Schizosaccharomyces pombe: one gene and its partner. Changing the gene in region 1 together with any one later gene gives a genetic interaction. Each region holds a gene or a part of one and is shown in the gene's direction. Other genes may lie near its edges.

Region 1 (4,991 bases):
AATGATGATCCAGGACTTTCGCCAAAGTGGCTACATGCTATAAAGAAGCTTTTACCTCTTCTTTTACAAAACCTTCAACTTTTGATGGTTAATCCCATTCAATCTTTGTGCAAATTTGTTCATTCATTTCTTGACCAACACGAGTCTATGTACCTAAAATACCCTGACCCAGTAAAAGATTATGCGTGCATGGATGTTTTTATTGCTAAGTTGAAAATGCTTAGCGAGTTAGTTTCAGCAGCCTTATTGGAATTCACATATTCACCCGGCCCCAAGAAAAGTAATTTAGAAGCCAATGGTATCATCGGAAATGTCATTTCTGGTGTGTTTGCAGCGGAGTCGTCAGGCGTTAGCATCGATGTCAACAAGAGATTATCTATGCTTTTAACTATGCAGGATGCTTTGCAAACATTATTTTTATCATATTCATGGCATATTCGGTCTTCATATGCTGATAAAACGTCAAAAGTATTTATGAATGATTCATCGGTTTTAAAAGAAGCATCCTTATCGGGATTAAAAGAGTTTTACTTCTGTGAACCTCTTGAATGCGTAGAAACGCTGGTACAAATCTATTTGGAGAACAATGTTGAGTGTTGCCAGTGTATATGGGATATATTTTCATTTCTTAGTGATTCTGAACCTCAGTACATTGTTAAGCAATTAGTTTCTTCTTTTTTTGCACGTGAAGGAATAGCTAGTTATGCAGGGCCTTCTAGTTTGACAGCAAAGATTACACAACTCGATATTTTATGCTGTATGTCTGACTTCGTCTCCAGAGTGGAGGGCGAAAACACATCTAAGATTTTTACGGAAATTTCAAAATTTGTTCGGGAGATTATTTCTTCCTCAAACAGCTTTAAAAACTATTTGCTGGTATGTTTACGAATGCTACTGGAAGTTGCAAAAAACGTGAACACTTATTGCGAATCTCGCCAGCAAAAAGACTTTATTGATTTGATGGGGAAAACATTGTCCTCAGTCTTATTTCATGCAGGAAAATCAAGTGATCCAAACCTAACTGTAGATTTTCTGGCGTATCATAAAGCTGCTGCAGACACGTTTGAGGTTGCCAAAACACAAAAGAAAACTAGCTCCGTGTATTTATTCGTAAAATACTTAGATCCCTCTTTGCTTGACTTTTTCTGTTCTGAGTTTGTTCCAAAAATAACCGAGCTTTCTAAGGAAGAAGATAAACTAGTTGCTTGGGCTACATCAATCGTCAATGTATTTATAACTCCTTTAGTAAAGGCTAGGACATTTCCGGAATCACTCACCACTTATCATTTGGACTTATTGCTCGTGTTGAGTAAACATCCGTTTTTGAGTAAATCATGGAGGCGCGATTTTTGGGAAATTTTTAATGATAATTCACTGTTCAGGTTCGATATTGATCAATTAAGAAAGCTTTCTCCAGTAATATACACAGCTTTGTACCAAGAGATATCTAGATTAAATGATCTCATAACAAAATCTGATTTAGGCGTTACTACTTTATTTACATCTCGGGATACTCAACTAGGTGCAAGGCAGAGCAACATATGTCGGATCACAATATTAATGTTATCTTCTCCACGTGATTTTTTCCTGCCTAGTCTTCCACCTCTGATTGACCTTGTCAAACGGCTTATAACGTCTGATCCTGAAGGAGTATTAAAAAAGGACCTGTTTTTATTTATTAGAGCTCTAGCTTTAAGGACCTCTTCGAAGCATTTGCTTCCATTATGGCCAATCGTTGTTAGCGAATTGTTGATCATTTTTAAATCTTACTGTATGCCAAATGTTGCCATTTCTAAAGAGACATTATTAGACGCATGCAGGCTTTTGGATTTTTTAACTGCACTCAAACTTGAAGAATTTGCGCTACATGAATGGGTTGTGATGCTTAGTCCACTAGATGCTGTCTATTGGAGCGGAAAAACTAGCCGTAAATCCCTCGTACAAAAGGTTTCTGAGCGACTTCAGGAGCAAGCATCGGAGAAGGACGACAAATCCAGTGTTGAATCCGAACATTCTATTCTTACTTCAACTACAAGAACCCCTTCTTTAGGCATTTACACAACGGACGCTCAATTAAGAAACTTTTTAAATCGCATTTCTATAGACGCTTATGAAGAAAGCTACTCGTTTTCAACAATCGACATACAATCTTTTGAAAATTCTATTTACAGGGAAGTTCTTCAAAGGTTTTCTAATGCTCCCCTATCTCCCTTTTCTTCAATTAAGGCTCCATCAAGCCTGGCTGGCTCCAGTAATTAATTCATAGTATTTTATATCGATTAGGAAGTCTAGGCTGTGTGGCTTCTTATGTAACTTCCAGTTACTCTAACCTAATTATTTTTGTATGTATTTTCTTTTCAAGTTTCAATGTTTATATTCGGAAAATGGCTATAGGGTTTAGTTTGCAAATACTTTAGGAACCATGTTGGACATTCATTTAAAACTGCTTTAATTTATAAAAATTGTTAATTAATGTTGTTTCTTAATTCATTGCACATAAGATGGAAATTAATGTAAGTTAAGTTTTTCATTTCAAATACTAATATTATGAAACCAACTTACGCAATCAAGGGCAGTCCGTTAAATCCGATGCCAATAGTTGTAGTGAATTTTTAAACCAGAAAGCACACCGAATATTCAAGATATTTCACTCCAATCGTAAATATTATTTTGGTTATATATCCTATTTAACATTTAAAACGATTTTTATCGATTGATTCACAATCAATTTTATTTTAGCATGGTATGTTCATCCATAGATAAACGTTTGGCTGACGACAACAGCCAAAAGCAAAAAAAAGAGTCAGTCTAGCGTCAAAAGCATCAAGTCGTTTACCGTCTTCTGGTAAACCTAGCCAACAAGCTAGTATTCCAAATGTCGAGTTATCTTCCACCGTTACTTCGAATAGTCAAGTGCTCAACAATGATCCGCTGAAAGAAACAAAGAAAGATAAACGGAAAGACCGTCATTTCAACTGGCAGCAAAAATTTTCTAATCCAAAAATATCTGCTTCGGCTCGTAAGCGCCGGAACCGTAAAGCCAGAGAAAACCTGAAAGTCAATGTGTCTTCGATTGGAGAAGTACTTCCAGAAATTGATCTTGATATTTCGGTAGCTAACTCCAGGTTGAAGCCCGTAATTAAGGATAGTTTATCTTCTAAACAAACTAAGAGTTCTATGAAACGAAATACCGTTGAGGAAATCGAAAGGTTCCAAGCCATATTGAAGCACCCTTCATTCGTTTCAAATCCTTTGGAAACGGTACGGGAGCACTTAGGAAACTCTTTGGATAGTAGATAAATAGAGCATGCTCATGTCTAGGTAAATTTGGAAGGAATTTGAGTACACTATAAATGCATGATTAATTTGGGGGGTTTTCTTTGGGAGGTTCTTTTCATACTTACTGATTATGTTTTTACAATAAAAAAGTCTACTGATCTAGTTTGTTATTCAGTATGCAAAAAGAGAGCTTGATTTATTTATTTATTATTAAATTCATGTTTTAAACTTTTGACTCAACAACTTAATCAGTAAAAGATGGTGAAATTTGTTCAAACCCATTACGATTCCCATGTAACAAATAAAAGTATATATCCATAATAAAATTTTAAGTAACTTTCTTACTTTAAGTAAACCCAATTCAGCGAGACGGTGCCATTGTGTTGCAAGTCCGCAAATGACAATGTACTTGCAATATTAAACCATTAGCGCAATAAAAGAATGAAAAACATATTATATGCCAAGCAAATAATAGAACGGTAAATTGATACGCCCTAAAGAAAGAAATTTTTTGAAAAGGTTGCAGATGTAATACCTACACATATGTGACAATAGTAACTTCAATCATTTCCATTTAATCTGGATGTATTGTCGGGATGTCACTACGATCACTTATGTTAACATAGGCCAATGATTTAGAAGCTTCGGCTTCTATCCGAAAAAAAACCCAAACACAACGTCGGAAAACTTCAAGAAATTGCATTATAAAGATCCCAAAGTCGGTGGTAAAAAACGCGGATTGATGTTCAGGCAAAACGCGAACTACCCAGGCCATTCGCAAAACAAAATCAATCGCACTTACAACTGCAAATGTGAATGTTGGGAATAAACGCCGAACCCCAAATTTCCAGTTTTGGATTGATAACGGTTGCTTAAAAAAGGGAAGACTCCAATCCATTGAAACATCCCACCAAAATGAATAAGTTGAATTTATAGCTGAAGAGGTATTCCATAAAAACCATAGAAAGCTAAATCTTTTCTTTGCAAAAATCCCAAGGAATATCGCTGGAAAAGCAGTGAAATACTTGATAGAATTCAATGTACTCCAAAATTTATCTGATGAATTATCCGCAGAGCTTCTTTCAATCAAACATTGACGAAATCGGATAGCGTATGGATACGCTGCAATCATTGACATAATAACCTCATTTTCATATTGTTTTCTATGAGAGTTATTAGGTGAGTCAGTTACGTAAATCAAGATTGCTCCAGCTAGCCAGAGATCAGCAATGACCCTCGAGTAAGAAGTCAATAAATCAGAAAATATAACATCGGGAAATTTGTAATCAGGTCTGTAGCTTCCTCCCAAAATCCTTAGACACTGTCGAGTAAACACCTTTCTCTGGAAGAACCAGAACTTATGTACAGGCATAAAAACAATAACACCAAAAATAAAAACGGGGACGTATGCCAATTCATCAGACCCAGAAATCAAATATAAGGATTCGGCTATTACGAAAAGTAGAGTACCTAATATAGATAGGGAGAATGACAATTGCCATAGAGGAGCATTAGCTTGCTGTGATCGATTGACAGGCAACGGAGTATGTAATAATGAGAACACGTCGACCCTATTTATCACTAATAGATGTAATATCAATGTGAAAGAATAAAGACCAAATACGACCAAGAAGAATAATCTCAATACTAGAGGAAAATAATTGATAAAGTGATTCAAATCCTCTATCAACGCCATATTAAATAAAAGGGAG
Region 2 (4,592 bases), 2.2 Mb from region 1:
TTTTCATTTCATAACTTATGAAGTCAATAATAGTTTTTGAAAATGGGATTTCCTAATTTAGTCAATTTTGTGTTCCACGTTGCACGATGGTTAAAAACGGTAATTTACACTACTGCAACATAAGAAGGACTTGTAAGATATAGACATTAAAAAATAACCTCCCAAGGCGAGACTCGAACTCGCAACCTTCTGATGACCATCATAAGAGTCAGACGCTCTAAACCGATTGAGCCACTCGGGACTTGCTTGTATTGTGTTAAATTATGTACAATTATATAATAAAGTCTTTAAACAATGAAAGGCATTGAAGGTGTTCAGCTTGAATGAATTCTTTTTAGTATGTTCATTGATCTCGAAAGAAAAAAGAAATGAAATGAAAAACTCAAGGTTTGTAAGTATAACTTTTTTGGTTTTGAAAACGCTTGAATATGATGTTGAACATTGATAGCAGGGTAACCAGTATATGTAAATATAAATGCATCTTGAAAAACCTGTATAAGAAGTGCAAGTGGGTTAAAATACATTGATTTGAGTATATAAAGAATTTCTTAATGTTTTGGCAAATTCGAAGACTTTTCCTTTCTTAGCTTTTAACAATGACTATTTCTTTCCTCCCAAGTTCTTTGTTGATGTTTCTTTGTTCGCCAAGAGAATTTTCTTTGTCAAAATCTTTGATCTTTTAAAGAAAGTGTGCATATACATAATCACCAACTCAGTTCAAAATACAATTTGAATTTCATACTAAAGTATGCCCAATGATTTTAAAAGTCATTAGTTTTTTTCCAAAGTACGATCTCTTACGAATACCTGTAAGAAAATTAATATTATACATCAGCCTCGATTTAATTATGTTTTGGATGCAGCTTTAGTTTTTAATTATATTCATCAAGTGCAAAATTGCAAATCACTAACATACTTGCAAGCGTTTTTTCTGCCATGAAGAATCGGGATGTATATGTTCTACATCAATTACTTATCTTAGTGTGAAATGCAAATTTATATGCAGTTATTTTGTTCTGAATATTTATTATATGCTACCATCATCAATGTGATCAAGTCATTAAAAAATTTATTTACAGGCTCTAACATTTGTATCATTTCTAAAGTCCAGATCAAGCGACCTCGGAAGAAATTTTTTCTTAATTACTCAATTGCTGTCACTGGATAGGTTTGATATGATACTTTACTTTTGATCTTAGATTTCCAGACTCGCAACAATTTCTAAAAAATTGGGTAGTAAACACACACATGTAGGCTGGAAATATTAAACACTAGCAAGATGCATCCTTCCAACATTTTACATAAAATATTTCAATGTCAAAAGTTAAATATTTTGCAAAGTTACTCTCTCTATTTCAAGCAGAACCTTTCAAGCTGGTATTAAAAGTTTAAAACAAACATTAACAATGTGAAAAACAGTTTCATGTAATTAGCTTTATACTATTCTTTAGTTCTAACATATCTATTTCGCTCCTATCGGAAGTCATAGACTTTTGGAATTTCTTAGCAAAGCACTAAATTGTTGGCTACATGAACCTCACCCAGAACCTCGTTCATACCAAAAACTCCTCCATTTTTTCTCAACATTCCAATAAAATTGGATTATATAATTTCTTCATTGAACATTTTATTTCTTTTTTGTTTGAAACCTATCAATTACTGGTCATTTTGACATATGCGTTTTGACATTTGATTTACTACAATATTTTGTTATACATGTCCTCCGTAAAGAATTGATTATATTCATAAAGGTTTAATTGTTTCTATGAATTATTTATACCAAAAATTTCCTTTATATGCAAGAAACCGCTATCGTTACGTTGAAGAATTAAATTAATATTAACTTTCCTCCCTTCTTCTCATCGTCTTTCCACTTTAAAAATGGATAATATAGGTGCTGCCGATGCAGCGACGTCTTCTGGCATTTCTGGGTTACTAAGTGGAAATTCATTTTTAGGTGCTGGTATTGGTTTAATGGGTTTCGGTGCTGGGCTAGCCATATTACGTCGTGGGCTTATTTCAGGAGCAAGCTTAGTAAAAAGAAGGATGCTAGTGTCTGTCGAAATTCCAAGCAAAGAAAAAAGTTATAATGCCTTTTTGCATTGGATGAGCACGGTGCCTAAACGCTATTCAAATCAGCTGGCTGTTGAAAGCAACAGACAACTCAAAATGCCGCAAAATGCTAGGGAAAAACCTGACAAGCAAGTTGCAAATCGTATATTCAGCCTCGTTCCAGGTCCTGGAAAGCATTACATAAAGTACAAAAAGTGTTGGATTCAAGTAGAACGAGAGCGTAGCAATCGTCTGCAAGATTTAACAACTGGAACACCTTGGGAGACAATTACTCTTACCACTCTTTCAAGAGATCGTGGAATTTTTTCCGAACTTTTATTAGAAGCTCAAAAATTCATGCAAAGTGCTCAAAAAAACAAGACTACTATATACACGGCTTGGGCCACTGAATGGAAGCCTTTCGGGCACCCTAGATCAAAAAGGATGCTTTCTAGTGTTGTACTTGAAAGCAATGTTAAAAAAATGATTACAGACGACGTTCATGACTTTTTACGAAATTCACAATGGTATGATACAAGAGGAATTCCATATAGAAGAGGCTATCTTCTTTATGGACCTCCTGGAAGTGGAAAAACCTCATTTTTATATGCTCTTGCAGGTGAATTGGACTACGACATATGCGTTCTAAACTTGGCTGAAAAAGGCTTAACTGACGATCGTCTCAACCATCTACTTTCTAATGTACCTCCCAAGGCAGTAGTTTTACTGGAGGATGTTGATTCTGCATTTCAAGGTAGGGAACGATCTGGGGAAGTTGGGTTTCATGCCAATGTTACATTTAGTGGGTTGTTAAATGCACTCGACGGTGTCACTTCATCAGACGAAAGGATTATATTTATGACAACTAATCATCCTGAAAAGCTTGATCCAGCTCTCGTTCGTCCGGGCCGCGTTGACGTTAAAGCATATCTTGGAAATGCTACACCTGAACAAGTTCGCGAAATGTTTACTCGCTTTTACGGTCACTCCCCAGAGATGGCTGACGATTTAAGTGATATAGTGTGTCCAAAAAATACAAGTATGGCTTCATTGCAGGGTCTTTTTGTAATGAATAAGAGCTCACCTGCTGATGCTGTTGATATGGCTAAAGAGCTTCCTGATAATCCTCCTAGTACACCTTTCTCCTTTAACGTACACAGAAAGTCTTTGTCTGTATGAAATCCCTTAGATTTATTTAACTTAAAATGTTATTCGTTTCGTAATAAGCTCTACTTATCAATCTTGACCACAAAAAAAAGACATCTTGGTAGAAACATATATTGTACGCGATTAATCTATGAATAATTAATGAATTTAAAAAATGGTTAAAAAATAACTAGTCCGTATTTTCTATTCTAAAAGACAGGCATGCATAAGATAATTATTCAAATGCATGTTCTCAATAAAAAGCTGCAAGCTGTTGAAATTCTTTTTCCATATGTTTAAGAAAGTAAAATCCAATAAAATTCCAATTGTAATCTTAAATTATTTTACGTGATGCATAGCTGAATTCGCAAAGTACTAATCCTACTTACTGCACATCTTACTTCTTTAAAGTTGCATAAAACTTGTGTCCTAAAAGAAAAGTGAGTTGTACGGCATCTCTTTATTACAAAAAATGGTTAAAAATTTGCTCTTGGATATTGAAGGGACTGTGGGTAGCATTTCATTTGTCAAAGACAAATTGGTAAGTGAAGTTTTTTATTGAGAACAATGTAGATCGTGTTTAACCCATGCTAGTTTCCATACGCTGCTTCAAGATACGAAAGTTATGTTAATGAAAATTATGAAAGTGATGAAAACTTGCGAGAACTTGGAAAAACGCCTGAAGAGGCCTTGATAAATTTACGAAAGTTGCATGCTGAAGGAAGCAAAGAACGTTCCTTCAAAATGGTCCAAGGTCGTATTTGGAAAAAAGGTTATGAAAGTAATGAACTAACTTCACACTTGTTCCCCGATGTTGTTCCTGCTATTCAACGTAGTTTGCAATTGGGAATGCGTGTTTACATTTACTCCAGTGGGAGTGTTCCAGCTCAGAAATTGTATTTCGAGCATTCAGATGCTGGAAACCTTCTAAAGTATTTCTCTGGATATTACGATACTACTATAGGGCTTAAAACTGAGTGTGGCAGTTATGTGAAAATTGTGGGAAACTCAAATCCTAGAGAATGGCTCTTCTTGAGTGACAATATCAACGAGTTGAAAGCTGCAAGAAAAGTCGGGTTGCACACCGGTTTGGTGGTTCGTCCTGGCAATGATCCTGTTGTAGACACCAGTGGATTCCCCGTGTACAATAGTTTTGAAATTTTGTTCACGGAATAAAGCAATGGTGAACCCTAACGACCGTTTCGCTTAGAACAAAGTAATGAGTTTCTTTAAAGGACATGAGTTCTTTAAAAGAATTTTGATTCTCTTGTGCTCTCATTTTCTATTTCTTTGTGTTTTTTTTTTCATGATTTCTTTGAATACATCCGAAAATTAGTCAACGCAATTTCTTCTCTTAAAATATATTGAATTATTATAATTTTTTTAACCCAATG

What was found.
Region 2: mutations in slx9 (region 1) and bcs1 together harm fitness less than expected from each alone (positive genetic interaction), as found in Schizosaccharomyces pombe (one large-scale study listed by BioGRID).

The regions. Positions count from the first base shown.
Region 1 is NC_003424.3:495,431-500,421, forward strand, and holds slx9 (ribosome biogenesis protein), read left to right. Parts: upstream 1-2,626; 5' UTR 2,627-2,740; coding exon 2,741-2,743; exon of another isoform or gene 2,744-2,784; coding exon 2,785-3,300; 3' UTR 3,301-3,597; downstream 3,598-4,991. Other genes in the region: dop1 (family protein DOPEY), read left to right, coding at 1-2,259; erd1 (EXS domain-containing protein), read right to left, coding at 3,854-4,975.
Region 2 is NC_003424.3:2,684,525-2,689,116, forward strand, and holds bcs1 (iron-sulfur protein assembly ATPase), read left to right. Parts: upstream 1-1,539; 5' UTR 1,540-1,881; coding exon 1,882-3,231; 3' UTR 3,232-3,297; downstream 3,298-4,592. Other genes in the region: utr4 (methionine salvage haloacid dehalogenase-like hydrolase), read left to right, coding at 3,671-3,739, 3,793-4,374.